Linked DNA regions of Drosophila melanogaster. The protein of the gene in region 1 purifies or fractionates together with the protein of each later gene. This does not show direct contact. Each region holds a gene or a part of one and is shown on either strand. Other genes may lie near its edges.

The links.
Region 2: the proteins of Tapdelta (region 1) and CCT6 purify together in Drosophila melanogaster (affinity purification with mass spectrometry, with the first as the bait; one large-scale study listed by BioGRID). This does not show direct contact.
Region 3: the proteins of Tapdelta (region 1) and CG11857 purify together in Drosophila melanogaster (affinity purification with mass spectrometry, with the first as the bait; one large-scale study listed by BioGRID). This does not show direct contact.
Region 4: the proteins of Tapdelta (region 1) and Mcad purify together in Drosophila melanogaster (affinity purification with mass spectrometry, with the first as the bait; one large-scale study listed by BioGRID). This does not show direct contact.

The regions. Positions count from the first base shown.
Region 1 is NT_033778.4:11,369,405-11,373,533, forward strand, and holds Tapdelta (Translocon-associated protein delta), read right to left. Parts: upstream 1,932-4,129; 5' UTR 1,609-1,931; coding exon 1,369-1,608; intron 1,310-1,368; coding exon 1,049-1,309; 3' UTR 896-1,048; downstream 1-895. Other genes in the region: CG13204 (uncharacterized protein), read left to right, coding at 1-832.
Region 2 is NC_004354.4:15,744,870-15,750,093, forward strand, and holds CCT6 (chaperonin containing TCP1 subunit 6), read left to right. Parts: upstream 1-1,778; 5' UTR 1,779-1,901; coding exon 1,902-2,038; intron 2,039-2,438; coding exon 2,439-3,903; 3' UTR 3,904-4,102; downstream 4,103-5,224. Other genes in the region: CG8944 (uncharacterized protein), read right to left, coding at 1-300, 451-1,173; Mvd (mevalonate diphosphate decarboxylase), read left to right, coding at 4,383-4,434, 4,496-4,566, 4,963-5,080, 5,141-5,224.
Region 3 is NT_033777.3:25,257,044-25,261,856, reverse strand, and holds CG11857 (uncharacterized protein), read right to left. Parts: upstream 2,960-4,813; 5' UTR 2,494-2,959; coding exon 2,425-2,493; intron 2,364-2,424; coding exon 1,821-2,363; coding exon of another isoform or gene 1,635-1,820; 3' UTR 1,098-1,634; downstream 1-1,097. Other genes in the region: Kdsr (3-ketodihydrosphingosine reductase), read left to right, coding at 1-312, 377-601; Nup358 (nucleoporin 358kD), read right to left, coding at 3,298-3,656, 3,728-4,735, 4,800-4,813.
Region 4 is NT_037436.4:7,717,336-7,722,622, reverse strand, and holds Mcad (Medium-chain acyl-CoA dehydrogenase), read right to left. Parts: upstream 3,274-5,287; 5' UTR 3,184-3,273; coding exon 3,166-3,183; intron 2,725-3,165; exon of another isoform or gene 2,564-2,724; coding exon 2,207-2,563; exon of another isoform or gene 2,147-2,206; coding exon 1,262-2,146; 3' UTR 1,151-1,261; downstream 1-1,150. Other genes in the region: CG7457 (uncharacterized protein), read left to right, coding at 1-725.

The DNA.
Region 1 (4,129 bases):
CGCAACCAACAGCAATGTCGGTTGTCTGATCATCGAGCCGCATCTCTTTGCGGCGGCGGACAACTTCAAGAAGGAACTGACAGCGGCTGCGGCAGCTGGAGCACCTTTGGGATTGTTCCAGAACCTGGCCAACCAAGTGCAGAACGCCAATCGTTTGAACGGCAGCTGCCCGAGCTTACCCATGGGTAATCCCACTCCTCCGCCGCCGCCGCCAGCGCCACCAGCCTCCAAGGTGCGAAGGGTACAACCTTCGCCGCAAACCACGGCCATCAACCTAAGTTGCTCCGGAGGGAATTCCGTACAAACGCAGCAGCAGCAGTCAATGCAAATGCCACAAATTCAACAGCAACAACAGCCGTCGCCCGCCAAAACGCGTAAGATTTGCGATCCGCGTTTTCCGAGCGATTGGGACGTCTCTGCCGTGCTACAGGCCAACAGAGAACTTGACGCAAACACTCTTTTCTTCTTGAGTCTGGCGCGGCAGGTGCGAGCTATGCCCATGAAATTCCAGTCGCTCGCCAAGATGCGTTGCATGCGAATCGTCAGTGATTTGGAGCTAGAGCTGGAGAACTTTGATTGCAACGGTGGAGCGCCACCGCCGGATGATTCAGGCGGAGGAGGAGCTGGGAATCTCAAGTACTGCAGCATAGATACTCCGCCACCGCCGCCGCAGGACGGCTCCGTGGTCATACCCCCGCCGCCAGTCGGCCCCGAGGGCTCCACGGAGCACTTTGTGTATGTGATGTCGCCGTCGCGTGTGGAGAGCATGATAGACATCTCCTCCGACGAGGAGGCGACCATGAATGGAGCGCCCTCCACGGGCCAGGTTTAAGCGTATTCGTACAAGTTATCTCTAAATTAAAATTAAATTAATCTCAACTAGGTTCCTTCGGTTGGTCTTTCAATCAGTTTATTTTGGAGCGGCGGGTGATCCGATGCTTAGGTGTACAAAATGTGGAAAAATCTCCGGGACCCGGCAATTTGATGGTACATGACTTTAGTGCGAATGAATTTCATTCAAAATCTCGATGACGAAGGCATCCTCTACTTAGGACTGCACCTTGCCCTTGGTGGTGAAGGCGAAGTATGCGAATCCGCCGACCAAGAAGGCGGCCAAAAGCTCAGCCTTGATCCAGGGACCCTTGTAGGCACCCTTGGTGGGCACGGAAATGTCGAGCAGCGACTTCACCGATGAAACCTTGTCGCCATCCCGCTGGGCCTTGCGCACATTGGCATAGCCATCCTCGTCGAAGAGACGCACCTGAACATTGCCGCTGCTGCCCTGCTTGATATCCTCCACCCAGCTCACCTAGTGCAGAACAGAGATTAGCCTTTGCACAAAACTTGACGGGGCTACTACTGGCTCACCTGGTACTTGTTGTCGCCCACCTTGGCCACCGGCACCACCTTGCCGCAGGGGAACTCGGCGAACAGGCTGGCGGGAGCGGCTCCGCTGCACTGCAGCGTGAACTCGCCCACATGGGCCAGCTGGGTCAGAATCGTGGCATCCTGGGTGCTGAAAGAGCTCACGGTGGCCTTGCAGCTACCGTAGACGCCGGACGCACAAACGGCGGCAATCAGGCAAATGGCGAACAGTTGACGGGACATCTTGATCAAGTTATGAGGTGGTTTTTATTTAGTAATCAATGGAATAGGCGGAACTCTACGGCTATCCAACTCGGCGACCTGCGACTTTCTTTCTCTCTGGAAGCGAACGCCACGACAGCACCATACATACGTCACGTCACTTGACAGCTACGAAAATTGCCGAAGTCGTACCAGTTCGATGGTCACACTGGTCGTGACCAGGGATGGCAACGCTCAGTCGAGAATAGCTACAAAATAGCTAGTAGCCCGTGGTAAATTTTTCCGATTTTTTACTTGTTATATCTAAAAATACAGTTTTAGAAAGCGGTTTTTTGTAGTTTCCTAATGACATCTATATGTTAAGATTTCTCCGGGAATGTTTGTCGTTCGAATATGATAGCAATTAGTACGTATACGTAAATGTTATAAAATTCATATAAAATTTGTATATACAAGTATTAAAAATAAGTGCGTATACATAAAAAATATAAAAATATGGGATTCATTTTATTTGGAATAAAGTTATTACTAATGATGTCAGTCCTGTCAAAATAAATCTTTCCTAATTATAGGGGCATTGAGATATGTAGACTTAATTTCCTCCCATATCAATTCAATTTCTAGCGATTTCAATTTCAAATATATAATTTGAAAATATCGAATTTTAAATAAAAAACAATTATATTAAAGTTAAATATTAATAAATTAAATTAAATTTATAAATAAAAATATAATGACAAATAGAATTCTTCACCAACAGGTTAAATTTTTGTAGTCTTACTTTGATTAAAAGACTAAAATTCTTATTAAATTATATTTATACAAAATTGTAATGTTTTAAGGAAAAATTGCTCAGCTATGATCGAGTACCGAATGCAATCCATCACTTTGGAGGATTCTGCTTTAGATCGCTATTGCGCTGATATTAAAAACATCAAAGTGAACTTTGATCAAATTGGTGGCTTAATTTGTACTTAGGCAAATACCCAAAGTTCCTTGTCTAAAACGTCTTTGAGGGGATTCCTTTTGCAATACATTTACGTTGGGCTGACTTCATTTAAAATATGTATGTAAGTATCTATTTAATTTAAAGTCAATAGATAAAGTCCAGGCCGTTCCAGTCACAGTAATTTCGTACCGACTGCATTTCTAATTAAAATAAGTTTTCGTCTGACAGTTTTGCTATGGTACCGTTCTGTGATCGGTTACGACTAAGTCCAATATTTATGGCACTTCGATTGCAATTGATTTCGAATTGCAGCAGTGTCAGAGGAAACGGGAGTCCTGTCCAATCGTTGGGGGAGTCTTCAAAGTCGGGCCATAAGCACCGAGTATTGACTGGTGGCAGTGATTAATGCCCATCCAACTGGAATGGGGCTTTCAGCTTTGTTTTAAGTACATTTTATTGGCAATCGGAAAATCGGATACTATCGTATAAATACTTTGGCTAACAGGCATACGAATGTATGCGGATGTGACCTTGAAGTGGGCCTGATTTGGTTTTGCTTTTTTTGTTTACGGTTTTATGCCATTTTGTGTTTGTGTTTGCCGCCACCGTTCGAATCGGCTCCATTTTGCTATGTTCGTTACTTTCCTTTGATTGCCACCGCGCACGGAACTTTTCCACCGAACTTTGCATGTCTTTGATGAATTTGAAATTGTCACAAATGTGAAAGTTTTTCACTTGCCATCCCATCCGGTTGCCCATCCGCAGATACAGATACTCATACTCATACTAATACCGGCAACAACTGAATTTGCATCTAACATTTTGCTGACATTGAGCGACTTGTACGCATTTCTCCTTCCTCCTCCTCCCCTCTTCTCACCACTCTGCCAGCCTTTTTCCTGCTTCTTTTTTTTGGCTACTATTCATTCATTCATGGCCGGATTTGCATATTTGCCAAAAATGCCGTAATCCTTTCGATTAAGAGGCGTTCGGTGGGTGATTCGCAAATGAAAACAAAAGTTCGTGCGGGTTCATTGAGTCGCAGTCGAAAACTTGCCAGACCCACCGGAATTGCACGTGTCTTTGGGGGAGGAGTGGGTTGATCCGGGGTTGGCAGGTGGATCGACGGATGCATTGGGCAAAATAAAGTGCACTCTGACCGGAAACGAAATTGGTACTTAGATTGCAAACATAGAAGCAGGCGCGATTGTGTATAAGCCAAATTTTGGCGTTCTATATTCTACAATATTTTAATTTTGGGAGTTTTTCAACAACTCGCAAAAATAAATATTACAATAAACCTAAGTTTTTAAAAGTTTTTCATATAAAAAACGAACCAATTATTAACAGGATACATTTACTAATCGAGTATAATAGCTCATTTGTAAGGGACATTACCTTTTTTAATTTTTCCTAGATCACTCCAATTTCTTTCAGTGTGCTTCGGTGGATGGTTGTCTGACGTGTGGGTGTGAGCAGGAAATGGAACAAAGAACCGAACTGTAAGGAGAGCCTGAGCCAGCATAACAGGCGACTCCTTGCCAACGTTGCGATTTTGTTGATTGTTTGTTGGCAACATAAACGAACCTCCCC
Region 2 (5,224 bases), on another chromosome or scaffold:
CAGCTCCTTGAAGTACCACAGCGTACTGATGTTGGTCTTCTCCAGAGCCATGCGATTGCACTCCCGCTTGTATACCGTGCGCAGGTTGTCCCACTTACGGGTGATGGCGTCCTTGGCCAGCGAGATGTTAAACCGGCTCTTGAACTCCAGCACAATCCAGTCGAGGAAGCGGGCGCGCTTAACGCGATCCCGGAACTGTGCATTGCCGTGGTCCCACAAAAAGGGGTTGCGCTGATACGAGTGGATGAGAAACTGGATCATCTTGCGGTCCTTGATGTGCATCGTAACCTCCCGGTCGCGCTAAGGGGTGGGAAAATGATAAAATCATTACAAATAGGTATATATGGATATTAGTGAAAATTAAGGGTGAAATAAATGTAGCTTTTAAATCGATGGGCGAAAATTTTAACAAAAATATCTGTATGTATATAGTATAAAAATATAACTTACTCCCAGCAGGGACTCCTCCACCATCTCATCATAGCTGAGAAAGTCCGATTCGGTTCCGAAACCACTGTGGTTAACGCCGTCGAATCCAGCAAAGTCCATGTACTCTCCGGAATTGTCGTCCATATAGCTGTGATCCGGATCACCGTAGTCGTCCATGGATGAATCGCCGTCACCGGCGATGAGAAGCTCGCTAGACATGTCCCTCTGGCGCTGCTTTGTGACCTTTTTGCGTGCCCGCGTCTTGGAACTGACCACCGGTACATCGCTTTCGGGTAATATGGCCTCGTCCTCATCGGCCTCGGAATCGTTCAGCCGTTGCTCATCGTCGTCTTCTTCGCCGGCGACCACATCATCATCGCTGCAGGGCAGATCCTGGAGCTCTTGTTTGATGACCATTTGGGGCTCCAGCAGCGCTGTGTCCGCGTCCGTTAAGTCTTCGATCTCGTGGAAGTTGGGCAGATCCCCATTACGACCGGACAGGGACATGGGCTCGCCGAGATTGAAGGGGAGACGGGAGGAGGTATTCGCCACGGACTGGTCGCCCAGGTGAACTGTCTGCATGTGGCCGATGAAGGAGTCGAAGTAGAGAAACTTCTCGCTGCAGAAGATGCAACGCAGGGCGAAGTACTGGAAGTCATCTGTGGCCGTCACCATGCCGCAGTCCTTGGTGCAGTGACGGAAAATCTCCTCGTCGTTGGTACGTGGATACGCCAGGACACTCATCGCGCCGCCTGCGGATCCTCGTCCTGTCCGGTTAACAATCAGAATTCAATTAAGTCTCTTGGTACTCTACGCTGCGGTCGGCGCACTCTAGTATTGTGCCTTATTTTGACTTGATTTTATCCCGATTTGGCCAATAAAAAAAAACTTTTTAGTGTTGGGGTTTGGGCGCACGGTTGCATTTCATTTGCTAATCGCCATCGGTGGTCGCAGGTGAGCCGATTAAATTGTGCGGCTTATTTTGCAGTGATTTAGCGGGAAATAGCCATTACTAGCGGGAAATATATTACCACCCTTAAGACCTTCTTTAATACTCATAATCATATAATCTTTGTAAATAACTTAGATATTAAGAATCGCTTAAATTGATACCGATTAAATTAAGTTGCCCAAGAAGGGTAATGGTACGCTAGTCAATAAAATAATTTCGTTTAATAAATTTAAATAAAAAAAAAGATATATATATGAAACATTTTTTAAATGTCATTTTGCATGTAAGCCACCACAACGAAAAATCTAATTAGAAATAAATAAAAGTGTTACAAATTGGAAGTGATTACAATACTATCGATTGTACTGCTTTGAAGTCTCTAGTTGTCTTTCCCCCATCTGGTCACACTTGCCATCTGATTTCTTCGATTCGCCTAACTTTAAGCGTGCTTGGATTTGTGCCGATTCCTATTGATTTATTTTGCCGAGCTAAGAAAATCTCTGTTTAATTGCGACACGCGATGGCTTCGATTAGCTTGCTGAACCCCAAGGCCGAGTTTGCCCGCGCCGCCCAGGCTCTGGCCATCAATATCAGTGCCGCCAAGGGACTGCAGGATGTGATGCGCACCAATTTGGGACCCAAGGGCACCGTTAAGATGTAAGTTACTAAAACCGGCCTCTAATATCCCTCACTTTGCGTTCCATTAGCAATTTGAGTGAGAATGCTAGTTTATAGGCGAAAAAACAAACGTTTTGGTCACAGCTGCGGCAACTGCAAGTTTGAGGTTAGACTGGAACTAGCGGCATGCGTCATCGCAAAAGAAAGAAAGAGAATGTTGCAACTCTGGAGCAAAAAGCTTAGAATTTAGGTGTTTTTATTTAATTTCAAAAAGAATCTTAAATGAAAGATGCCCCCAGAGGCTTTAATTTATTCATAAATGTGTGTTTACCTGCATATCCAGCACCGGGTGATTCAGAAAGTGGCATCGAAAGAGGCGTGACTTGACTCACGCGCCGTGAAAAGTGAAACAAGCATACTAATTCTAGAAACTTCGCAGGTTGGTTTCTGGCGCCGGCGACATCAAGATCACCAAGGATGGCAATGTCCTGCTGCACGAAATGCAGATCCAACATCCGACTGCCTCTATGATTGCCAGGGCCAGCACGGCCCAGGATGATTCCACCGGCGATGGAACCACCACCACTGTGATGCTTATTGGCGAGCTCCTGAAGCAGGCCGATATCTATCTGTCCGAGGGACTGCATCCTCGCATCATGACCGATGGATTCGAGAAGGCACGCGACAAGGCATTGGAGGTGCTCGACCAGGTCAAGGTGCCCGTGGAGATCAACAAGAAGAACCTGGTGGAGGTGGCCAACACAAGTCTGAAGACCAAGGTGCATCCCGCCCTTGCCGATCTGCTTACGGACGTCTGCGTGAATGCCGTGCTGACCATTGCCAGTGCCGATAAGACCAAGCCCGTGGACCTCCACATGGTGGAGCTGATGGAGATGCAGCACAAATCCGATACCGATACACAGCTGGTGCGTGGACTAGTCATGGACCATGGTGCTCGCCACCCGGACATGCCGAAGCGTTTGGAGAATGCCTACATCCTTACGGCCAATGTCTCGCTGGAGTACGAGAAGGCCGAGGTCAACTCTGGCTTCTTCTACAAGACCGCCGAGGAGCGTGAGGCCTTTGTGCGCGCCGAGCGCGAATTCATCGACCAGCGTGTGAAGAAGGTGATCGAATTGAAGCGCTCCGTGTGCGATGGCACCGACAAAACCTTCGTCCTGATCAACCAGAAGGGCATCGACCCCATCTCGCTGGACGCCCTGGCCAAGGAGGGCATCCTGGCCTTGCGTCGCGCCAAGCGCCGCAACATGGAGCGTCTGTCTTTGGCCTGCGGTGGCACTGCAATGAACTCCTTTGACGATCTGCAGGAGGAGCACTTGGGATACGCCGGTGTGGTGTACGAGCATGTTCTGGGCGAGAACAAGTACACTTTCGTTGAGGACTGCAAGAACCCGCTGTCCGTCACGATCCTGATCAAGGGTCCCAACAAGCACACGATCACCCAGATCAAGGACGCCATCAGGGACGGTCTGCGTGCCATCAACAACACCATTGCCGATAAGGCTCTGGTGCCCGGAGCTGGAGCATTCGAGGTGCGCGCGTACAACGAGCTGGTCGCCTTCAAGGACACCATCAAGGGCAAGTCCCGCCTGGCAGTGCAGGCCTTTGCCGATGCCCTGCTGGTCATTCCCAAGACGCTGGCCGTGAACAGCGGCTACGATGCCCAGGACACAATCGTCAAGCTGACTGTTGAGGATCGCCTGAGTCCCGAACTGGTCGGCCTGGATCTGGCCACCGGGGAGCCCATGAAGCCCGTGGATCTGGGCGTCTACGACAACTACATCGTTAAGAAGCAGATCCTCAACTCCTGTTCGATCATTGCCAGCAACCTGCTTCTCGTCGACGAGGTGATGCGTGCGGGCATGACGAGCCTCAAGGGCTAGTCCCCATCATTTCATCCGACCCATTCAATTTAACCAAGTTAATGCACCGCATGCTACTCAACCCGCGTCTCTCAAAGCCACACACAACCAAAAGAAAACTAAACACGTAAATAATTTGGAAACACATGAAATCGGAATGGTTGCGGCTGCAAGTATTCACATTTAAAATACAATTCTAATAAATACAAAAACCAAACACAGCTCTATGCTTAACGCTAATGTATTTTCTATTTTTATTAACACTAATGTTTACTCACTACAAACTTTCATTGGTTTAAAAATAAATGGAAATAGCGATTTAGCCGTGACTCAAACCTCAATATGGGCGGTAATTGGGGAATACCCACAACTACATTTTTTGGGGCCACATGGTATATTTGAAGAGTCCACTGGGTGGTCACACCGCAGTCAACAGTTGTCGCTTTCGCTGGAAAGCAGCTGAAAACAAGTGAATTTCTGAATTAAAAACATTTTCAAACATGTTTTCGGTTACTTGTGTGGCGCCCGTAAACATAGCGCTCATCAAATATTGTGGGTAAATTAATACATATATTATAAGCACATAAACTTATGCACATGCATTCCTTTAAAGGGGGAAAGCGGCACGAAGAGCTAATTCTGCCCGTCAATGATTCCATTAGCATGACTCTGAGCACCGATGAGGTAAATATGAAAGATATTTAAATATTTATTTGCGTTTTAAAACCAACAAATTGTAATTAAAAAATTAAAAAACCTTAGACGCTTTTAATAATGGTTTAAGTTTAAAGTGCGCGTAGTCGAAGTTTTCATTTTCTCACAAATGTAAATATTACGAAAACTTTCTATTTAATTTGGGAAGATCTCACGGATTTTCACTTTTCACCGATTCTCTCTCTTTCGATTTGTGTGGACACTGAATTTGCTTAAGATTAAAATGAAATTACTAACTTAAAAAAAATGGGTTTTTGAATATGGGTTGTTCGAAATCCTGTAATTTCTAACTTATTTTTTGAAATAGCAATCTATCGAGACTTTTAAAATCTTGAACAATTACCTTTCTTGATCCCATCTCCCAAGCTCTGCGCCAAGACAACAGTGACTGCATCGGAATCCTTTGAAACGAATCGCATGTGGCTGAATGGGGAGGAGGTGCCTTTTGAAGAGAGTTCCCGCCTGCAGCGCTGTTTGAATGAAGGCGAGTTTATAGTTATATATATAAAAGTATAGAACTTTAATGTAAAAAATGCACTTGCAGTTCATCGATTGGCTGTGGCGAGTGGCTCCCAGAAGGTTCCGCCAACCTGGAAGCTGCACATCGCATCGGTAAACAATTTCCCCA
Region 3 (4,813 bases), on another chromosome or scaffold:
GTCCTGCCCAAAATGAAGAAAGCCGGCGACGGCATTATTGTAATCACTGCCTCACAGGCGGCTATGTTTGGCATCTATGGATACGGTCCTTACTCAGCCACCAAGTACGCCCTGAGAGCGATGGCTGAAACGATTGCAATGGAGTCTCGGGAGCACGGGGTCAGCGTCACTCTGGCCATGCCCTGCGATACGAATACACCCGGATTCGAGGAGGAGGAGAAGTCAAAGCCCAGGGAAACCAAAATAATCTCTGGTGGAGGAGGTCTCATAGAGCCGGAAGTTATGGCGAAAGCTATACTTAAGGATGCCCTGGTGAGTCTGTTACCCATAGTTAATATTCACGCAATCTAACTAGAATACTTTTTCTTATTTGTAGAAGGGAAAATTCACCTCAACTGTTGGAGCAGAAAGCTGGCTGATCACCACTTTGGGTGGAGCATTGCTTCCTTGGGATGGCTTCTTCACCAATCTTCTGCACGCCATAGTTTTGGGACCACTGCGAATAGTTAGCTACGCTCTGCACAAGTACTTCAATAGTGTTATACGCAAATGCGCTCGAGAGGATAAGGCCAAGGCCACATCGCAAGTGGAGTCCAAGTGAAATCTCTCTTGTCCCGCTGCCCTTAAAGTATTCCCAAGTGCCCATAATTAAATCACTTTTTTATAATTAATCAAAATGTGCGATTGTTTTGCATGGTTAGCCTATTCATATATTACAATTCCCGTATTATCATTCATTTTTATATATATATTTGTATGTGCATTTGAACTTTTTTATTATTGCCGTGCTAGGGTTTTAACTATTTGTATCGTGTTTTCTAGACTAGATGACGTGTGCTCGTTTTGTTGGTGTGTGCTTCGTTTTAACAAAAATAAAATGTATTTACTGTTCAGAAAATGAGTCGTTTTTAAATAACCACTTAGTGATTGTGCTAATCGCTAAAGCAATTTCACGCATTGGCCTAATCAAAATTGGTTTCGTATCTTAAAATCGAACAGCAAACTACATGCAGAAGCGATTAGATAAATACAAAAACCACGCCACAAAAGCCATCAACCTTTTCCAAATGGTTCAAAATTCAACGATAAATTATTTGGTTTTCTTTTGTCTTTCTTTATTCATAAGACGCACCCAGTGTACACTTCCTATAGTTTCAGTTTTCAATTCGCCTTTTTTTAACATTCTGTATAGTTAACGCTAACAAAAATTGTATAATCATAATGCAAAATATATATATATATATGTTTGTATATATATTTAGACATATTATTATAGCATCTTAGCACGATAATCAAAAATAATTGGATTCAAATACAGTAAGTCTACTTTTTGGATAGAAGAGTTATTAAATTATTGTTAGGATTAGGATGAAAAACTAAATTAGAGCTGATCTGCAGTATTTCGGTATCGTTTGGGATTTACAATAGATAGAAAGCATTGTAAATAAATATAAATTTAAACAAGCAGTTAGATTAAACAATAAACAAGGTATTTTGCACAAGACGCCGTACGACAACTCAACAGTGAAACGAAAAATGCTACACAAACCGAAAAGGAAAATCATATTATAAGCTTGTTTCTGGTTGATGTTATGCTGCTGGTTCCCATTCCGGGCTGCTTTCGGTAGCTTTCTCTAGTAGTCCTCAATGGCAATGATCTGCGGTGGTTTGATGGACGATGCTGTTGGCGACCCCACATCCTTGGTCGCTGCGCTGTCGCTGGTTGGTGATGGTGGCGCTGCAGCTGCAGAAGAGGCATTTGAAGGATCACCCGATCCCGCTGCCGTCGCCCGCGTGTCCGACGTCTGTGCGGCTAATTGTCACTTTGAGTTGCCCGCCACGGAACCGGGTCCGGAACCCGCCAGATCATTCACCCGCTGGTAGCGCGGTTTATTGCGGGTAAACGGCAAGTACTTGTACTTGATCATATGCTTGATCTGGCGCTTCATCGTGATGCAGAAGAGCGTGATAAAGTACATGACCAGGATGGGCCAGAATACCGGCACGTTGAAGAAATCGAAGAACGTACAAATCAGACCGATGAGCGTGCTCTTCGCCACCGACAGCCAGAACTTGAACTCCGGCAGGCGGCGAATGAATGGCCGGAACTCTTCGTTGCTGCGAGTTGGCAGATTGGGTCCCTCGTCCTCGTCATCCTGCGAATACGGATCGAACTCCGGGTCGATCTTGGGCGTTAAAAAAGCGATAAACAGGTTCAAGTGGTAAATGCCAAGCGCATAGCACACGATGTACCAGCCCTGATAGATGAAGATGCGCAGCACAAAGAGCAGGAGCAGAAAGCCGGCGAACACCCAGCGCATTCGTGTGTGCGGTGTGCTACGGTCCAAGGCGGATTGGTAGGTCTGCGGAAGCAAAGGATGCGGGTTAGTTCCCGGCACGTACGGGCTATCCACAATTACTTACCTGTGAGAGGCGCTGAAAGAACTTCTTAACCCCGCCGCCGCCGGCAGCACTGCTGTCCTCGTTCATCATGGTCGTCGTCGGTAGTCTCTCATTAATCTCCGGCCCTCGACTTTTATTGTTGACTTTGACGCTGTCGTTGTTCTCGCTGCACACGTGTATCGATTCGGGAATTGCAAAATTTTCCGGGACGGGGGCAGGGGCTGCCGGAAAGGGGCTAACAAAACACGAAATGGGCCAACTGGCAAACTAGACGCGCTTCAATCGCTAATTATTCTCTAATTCATATTCTGCACCGCCCGTCGTCGCCTTCTTCTTCTTCCTCCTTGTTGTAGGGCTGTTTCAACTGTCAGTTTCCTGAGATTGCTATATAGACAGTATTCGGGATTCGTAAAGTTCTGGCCACAGTTTAGTGCGTTTCTATGCGGTAACTAATTTAATTACACTAGAGATTTGTCGGCAATTTATTGTTCTTTTTTCACACAGAGTTCACCACGTCATTATGCTCTCTCAGTGGCAGGGCTGTCAAACTATCGGCTGGGGATGGAACAATCGGGAGTTGAGCGATTATCGCGAAAGGTAATTGTTTGTTTTAATTTTTTATCTAAGTGCTGTCGATATTTTAAAAATAGGTAGAGGTACATTTAATATATAAAAACATAGCCAGTTTCCTTGTGCTATATGGTTGTACGTCCGAATTTGTCTCCTCTCTAATATATCGATTGCTTTATTCAATAGTCAAATTTATTTCAAATGTAATATTAATGTTTATCGAAATTTTATTAGCAAAATGTGAAATAGCCATTGTCGCTACTGTTTTGGATGAATATTCTAACACAATCCTAGACATGCTACATATATTTAGATCCGGTTTGCTTATGAGCTCGCCTGCTCCTCCGGCGCGTCGTCATTCTTGTTCTCCTCATCACCTTGCAAGGCCTTGGCTCGTTTTATGCACGAATTGACCGTGTTGAGGAACTCACTGGCGATCTCTTCCTTGGCGAATCGACAGGCAAGGCGTTCCAGGACGCCCTCGGTGTCAACTTTACCCTCTGCGTCCACCGCGTAGTTGTAGCCGGCCCACAGGAAGCTCTTCATCTGCGCGTTCATGTAATCCATTTGCAGGGAGGCGGAGATATTCATGTTAAGCACCAGCTTGTGGATCTGCTCCTGCCGCATGATCAGTCGGAATGTCTGCAGCTCCGGGTGCTCCAGCACCTTTATCTCACCGACACCTTTTTTTTTTTTTTTTGGTTTTATAAAAACTTTTAGTGTGAATAAGAAAGGGACTATTACTACAGCTTACCTCGCTCCTTCCATTGTTTCGATTCGGCGTCATAGCGATAAAGCTTCGCCCGCTCGCCAAACAGCTTAGTCTCGTTCTCCTCTCCCGTGGTGACAACTATCTCATCCGGCAGCTCTACAATGGCATCATAGTGCGGATCGTAGTTGTCATCAGTGGTCGCGTCGCCGTCATCATCGCACTCTTCTGTGGCTTGCGGCGACTCGAAGTTCTTGAAAGCGTTCTGATGCGTGAGGTTATAAAAGCCGCCCCCGGCGGACTTGTTGAATCCCACGGTAGTGCCCTGGCTATTGGCCGACAGGTTGGCAAAGTCGTTGCCCGTCTTGTTCGCTAAGTCCGCAAAAGTGCCGCCCGGATTGCTTGCCAAATCTGCAAACGTGCTGCCTGTCTTGGCCAAATCGGCAAATGTGCTGGTCGTCTCCGGCACCAACTCCTTCTTTTCCTTGCCTTCGGCTTTAAGATCAGTGGTGTTATTCGAGGTTATGTCCTTTTCCTTTTCATTTTTTGCAGCTGTAAATGAGAAGGTTGCCATTTGTCCAAAAGCGGGTGCACTGCCAAACACAAAGTCTTTAGCAGGTGACTGGGTTTCAATTTTGGGTATTCCAAAGGCGTTGGACCCTCCAAATAACAATGGGGTTCCGCCAATGATAGATTTTGGTTCTTCCTTGCCATCTGATTTTTGCAAATTAACTTTGTGGCCTCCAAAAGGATTGGCGTCTCCGAACACAGGTGCGGCAATTCCACCGAAGGCCAACTTCGGTGCTTCTTGGGTCGCTGGCGATTGGGAATCCGCTTTATTGCCTCCGAAGACAGACTCTGAGGAATCTTTCTTCTGTTGCTCAGCCGCTTTATTTCCACCCCCGAAAAAGAACTTGACAGAACCGTCAGACGAATTTTCGTTTGACGAGCCGCTACGGAATATAGATCCCAAAACGTTTCCTTGTCCTTCGCCTGATGCTAGTTTTTGAAGATTAGCTAATGGGCCAGCATCCTTTCCAGGCTCCGATTTATCTGAAGTGAACATAAAAAGCGGTTAGATCCTTTTATCTTGAGGTCAACGTCGAATTATACATACCCGTGCTACCGAAA
Region 4 (5,287 bases), on another chromosome or scaffold:
GCAAATATTGTGCCAGTCCCGCTGGTCAAGCTCTGACATGCCTTCAACTTGCTCAATGTGAACTGACGGAACTGCAGGATTTTGACCTGGGATTCAATAAGTTGACGCGATTTGATATCAGCTTTAATCAACTTACACAGCAGAGTGTGCGTCGGCTAACGGATCAACTGAATAGTTGCCGGCTGGAGCAATTGAATCTCAGTTATGTGCGCTGGCCCCTCGACGATGCAAGTGGATTTGCGTTGAGTGAGCGCCTGGTTACGCTTTTCGAAGGTGGTACCTGCGAGCGATTTGTCGGAGTGCAGCTCGCTGGCTGCGGCTTGAACGATGCGCATATGTACAATATCAGCCAGCATTTGGCCAAAGCCAAACAACTACAGATGTTGGATATCAGTGATAATAGCAATTTAAGTGGAACTACTCTTGGATACATATTAGATGAACTACCTCAATTACGCGATCTTTTGGCCGTTAATTGTACAAATCTACTGGATGACATTCGTCTGCAAAAACTCGAACAACTAAAGCAGCTGCCCAGGCGCTTAGAATTAACAGTTGATGAGCAGGTGTTCTCCATGCCAGGAGCCCTGGAAACACTTCAGTCCATTTGGCAGCTGCAATTTGGAGACAAGGCCAAAATGTTGACCACATCAAATAGCCGGAAAATTGGAAGGCGGTACAAAGGTCTACTTAAGCTACTCGCTGATGGAAGCGATGCGGAATAGTGTAGTCTCATCATGTGTAAACCATTTCCTTGTGTTGTATGTCCCAGAGCATTTTTTATTGTTTGACAATTATATAGCAAATCTAAGTACAGTAAGTCTTATCGTTCAGTTGATAGCAGAACAGCGATTCGTTGAACCTAAGTAGAACAAACACTCAGCCCCCACAGGGCTTATCTTATCAATGGATGATAGCTAGCGAAATAATTTGCGATGGTCTAGACTCTACAATTTTGGGGGTAAGTGAGGGCAAGATTAGAGAAACTTGAAATATTAAGAATTAGTAAACATACTAACGCACTGACTGTTTGCTTACTTCTTCCTTCCTTTTATACACTTGAGGAATAAGTAATTCCTTAGAAATTACCAAGTGCCATTTATACAACATTTCCCTCAACAGACAAATCACAATCAATGATTTATATTTTCTTGTAATTATTTACTTATTGTACTTTATTAATCGGATTTGTGAATGTGTCTACAATGAGCATGACAACTGATGAGGTGAATGGAGATGAGGAATCCTAGTTAAAACTGACTTAGGCTTGACCCTTAGCAGCCTCGTACATGTTTCGGGAAATGATGAGGCGCTGGATCTGAGAAGTACCTTCGTAGATTTGGTAGATCTTGGCATCACGCATCAGCTTCTCCACGGGATACTCGCTGTTGAAGCCGTTGCCTCCAAAGATCTGGACGGCATCGGAGGCAATCTTGTTGGCCATATCGGCGGCATGGCACTTGGCAATGGAGGCATAGTAGCTGTTGCGGCGTCCCTGGTCGATTTCCCAGGCGGAGAGACGCCACGCCAGACGGGATGTCTCCACACCGATGGCCATATCAGCCAGCATGAACTGCACAGCCTGGTGGTAAGCGATGGGCACGCCAAAGGTCTTGCGTTCCAGCGCGTATTTAAGAGCCTCATCCAAGCAACGCTGGGCCAAACCCACAGCTCCGGCAGCAACTGGAGGACGCGTCTTATCAAAGGTGCCCATGGCAATTTTGAAACCGGCACCCTCGCCAATCAGCACATTTTCCTTGGGCACGCGCACATCCTCGAAGGTGATGCCACGCGTGTCGGAGGCGCGCTGTCCCATGTTCAACTCCTTGCGGCCGGGCGTTAGTCCGGGACTGTCGCGCTCCACAATGAACCCGGTGAAGGCCTTGCTGGGCGGGCACTTGGGATCCGGATTGGTGCGGGCCAGCACAAAGTACCAGTTCGCCACACCACCGTTGGTGATCCACATCTTCTGGCCGTTGATTACCCACTCATCACCCTTCTTCTCGGCGCGTGTCTTGATGCCGGACACATCGGATCCTGCTCCGGGCTCTGTAACACAATAGGCGGCGACAAGTGGCTCCTCCAGCAGGCGGCCCAGGTACTTTTTCTTCTGTTCCTTGTTACCGGACAGGATCACAGGAGTTTGCTATGAAAGAACGTGGCGTTTCGATCATCTTGCCGTAAATAGACATGACTTTAAACTTACGCCCAGACCACTAGCCTCTAAGGCGGTCATGATGCCAGTGCAGCCATAGGCCAACTCCTCGGCCGACAAGCAGGTGGTGAACACATCGAGATCCAGGCCACCAATATCAGCAGGAATGTGGTTGTTCATCAGGCCCAGTTCCCAGGCCTTCTTGATGATGGGCCACGGGTACTCGCCGCTCTTGTCGTACTGGGCGGCCACCGGGATGATCTCCTCACGGGTGAACTTACGTGCCAGTTCCTGCAGCTGCAGCTGATCCTCGGTGAGTGCGAAAGAGGTGCCATTGGGCGAAACGTGTGACACGGCGGCGTAGGCGCGACTTTGGGACACCAACTGGCGCAGGGCAGGCGCAGCAAGCTGGATTTTCGGATATTGGATATCGGATTTAAAGTCAACTGGTAAACAAGTGTTTATCGAAATGCAAAATGAAAATGTAGAAATAATCAGAACAACAACAAAGTTGACCGCGAATTAATCTTAACTACAAGCAACAAATAAAATGGGCCAACTACGTATGTATTTAATTAATACAACATCATGATCATAGACGAAGGTTTTTTTTATATTTACAAGGGACTTTGGATGTTTGAGGTTCATAACCAACCATCACATTCTATTTTTTTCATAAAACAGATAACGAATATGCCTGCCCATAAAGTTTGCATTCCGATTTAAATAGAGTGCACGATAAGCCGCCATTAGACGCCGCTAATAATACTTTCTCAGGGGGGGCAAAGTACAGATGATTGCTAACAGATAGGCAGCAACAAATTGTTTTCGAAACGGAACCCACTCGAATATATGTTTGTTGGTAGGTACATATGTATATGTATGTATGATCCTACGATCAACAGTTGCTGTCGTCACTAGCGTGATAGAACTTTGGACCTTTGGATATGATATGTCCCAGCGATGTGTTTTTCACTTTCTCTGCGTTGTAAATTGACTGATATGCTCACCTTGTTGAGGAACGCCATTTGAATGTGGGTTTATTTTCGTATTTTCCTGAGTTTTAACTAGGTCGCCTTGCTAACTCGTCGGTGGCTGCCAGCGAAATGATCCAAACGAGTTGCCGATGCGCCGGTATAGCGATGTTATATATGTACATACATATGTACATTGGTTCATCGCGATATGGCAGCGACGCTTGGACATTGGACCTTGTTGCGCTGGCAGTCGCAAAAGCTACAGAATCGTGGTGACGAACGAACTACAAGCATATGCACCTACAAATATATGCAGGAGGTTGAGATAAGGGAAGATTTCGCAGACATTTGTATGCGCTGTTGATGGAACTTTCCCAAAGCTTTTCGAAGAGTTAACAAATTTGTTTGTACCTCGCCTTAATTGTAATATAATGCTTATATAAATAAATTGTATTGTAAAATATTTTTAAAATACCAACTGTACATTTCATCCAGGTTTTGTCAAGTACATAGGCATATGTGTATGAAGAGACACACCCCCTTTTTTAAGATATCAATGTACCACACGAAATACCCTACGAAATAAGCTTAATAAAACATAGCTTTAACGTAATGCCCAGCAATCTACGTAAGGTAAAAGCTTTCAGTTCACAACGTAACGTATTGCTTCTGGGCAATAGGTATAAAATAATACAATCGGGTATATTAGGCTTGAAAATGTTCGTCGGCAGAGGTCATTGAGGGATAATTCATATTAAATAGTAATATACTATATTTTGGTTAGTTTAGAATAAAATGTAGAGACAATTAGATAATTATAGGTTTCATTCGCTTTAACTTTTTAACCCCATTTTTCCATATTCAAAACATTTAAAACATGATTTGATATGTTAAATAATAAAATAAGAACCAACAGGATAGTCCCTAGTCGTTAGACTTCGCTGCCACCTGTTAGGTGCTTAACAATCGGAGCATACTTTCCCGCTTGACACAAATAGACGGAACATGTTCCTCTGGCTGTTTTAAAAATAACAGATTGCAGCCCCGCCTCCCAGCGACAAAAAAATCTCCAGCGAAACGAATTGGAAATCCGTGACACAGTTGACAGGCAGATATAAAAAACAGAGCACTACGTGGCGCGGCACGAAGACATCATTAAATCAGCATCCGCAGCCATCCAAAGTCGTAATCAGCCGTTGAAGCGAGTGGTATCTCTTATCAGCCAGGCCAGGCGCATAAAACTGGGTCCGGTTAAAGCTCTTCCGCCACGACGAGGACGAACGCGCACAGCCGAGCTGGAGCCGAAGTGGTTCGGGTGGTGCGATGGCGGGTGGCGAGTCCTGTGGCGTCTAAGGCCCAACTGGGATAGCTGCTCCTAGTCAGTCATTTGACATTGCTCCTGCGAGAAGGTTGTCCACGGTCCGAGCCCAAATCCTCCGTCGCCCACAACTCGTCCGCAAGCCAGCCGTAGTGTGTGTTTTTTTGTGCTACCCACTCCCACTTTTGGGATACATATAAAAGTGCCACCCCCGCCTTCCCAAAAAAAAAAACCGCCTCATAGAGGAGTGAAATTTTAAACAAGTGTTACCTAAGCCCAAACCTCAAAGAAACCACAACAAAAAGGGAGCAGTAGTTGAAGGTTGCGGCAAAATGGCCCAGTTTGTGACCCACATCCAGCCAACGCTGATGGAGGCGTCCCAAGGTCATGTTCCTCACCACCACGGACATCAGGTGGGTGTGCAGCACTCGTCGCATCTGCCCCACAGCGGCCACAACATGCCCTCGCCGCCAACCCACAATCACCATCATGCCCACGGACATGGTCATCATACCAGCAGCGGTGGTCATCATGGAGGAGCAGGTGGCCATTCACAGAAGCAGGCAGCGCATCATAGCACCACCTCCGGCCACGCCGCCAAGGGACAGCACCACAGCCCACCGTCGAGGATCCATTCACCGCCAACGGAACACCATCCGGATCATGTCGGTCACTACGAGTACTTCCAGCATCAGCACGAGCAGATCTTCCACCATGAAGGAGCAAACGGTGGTGCCAGCCACAAGCAACAGACCCACCACCATCCCAACAAGCACGAGCACTGCCCCACAGGACACCAGAGTGCGGTGAGTTGTCCTGCCTAGGATTACATCATTG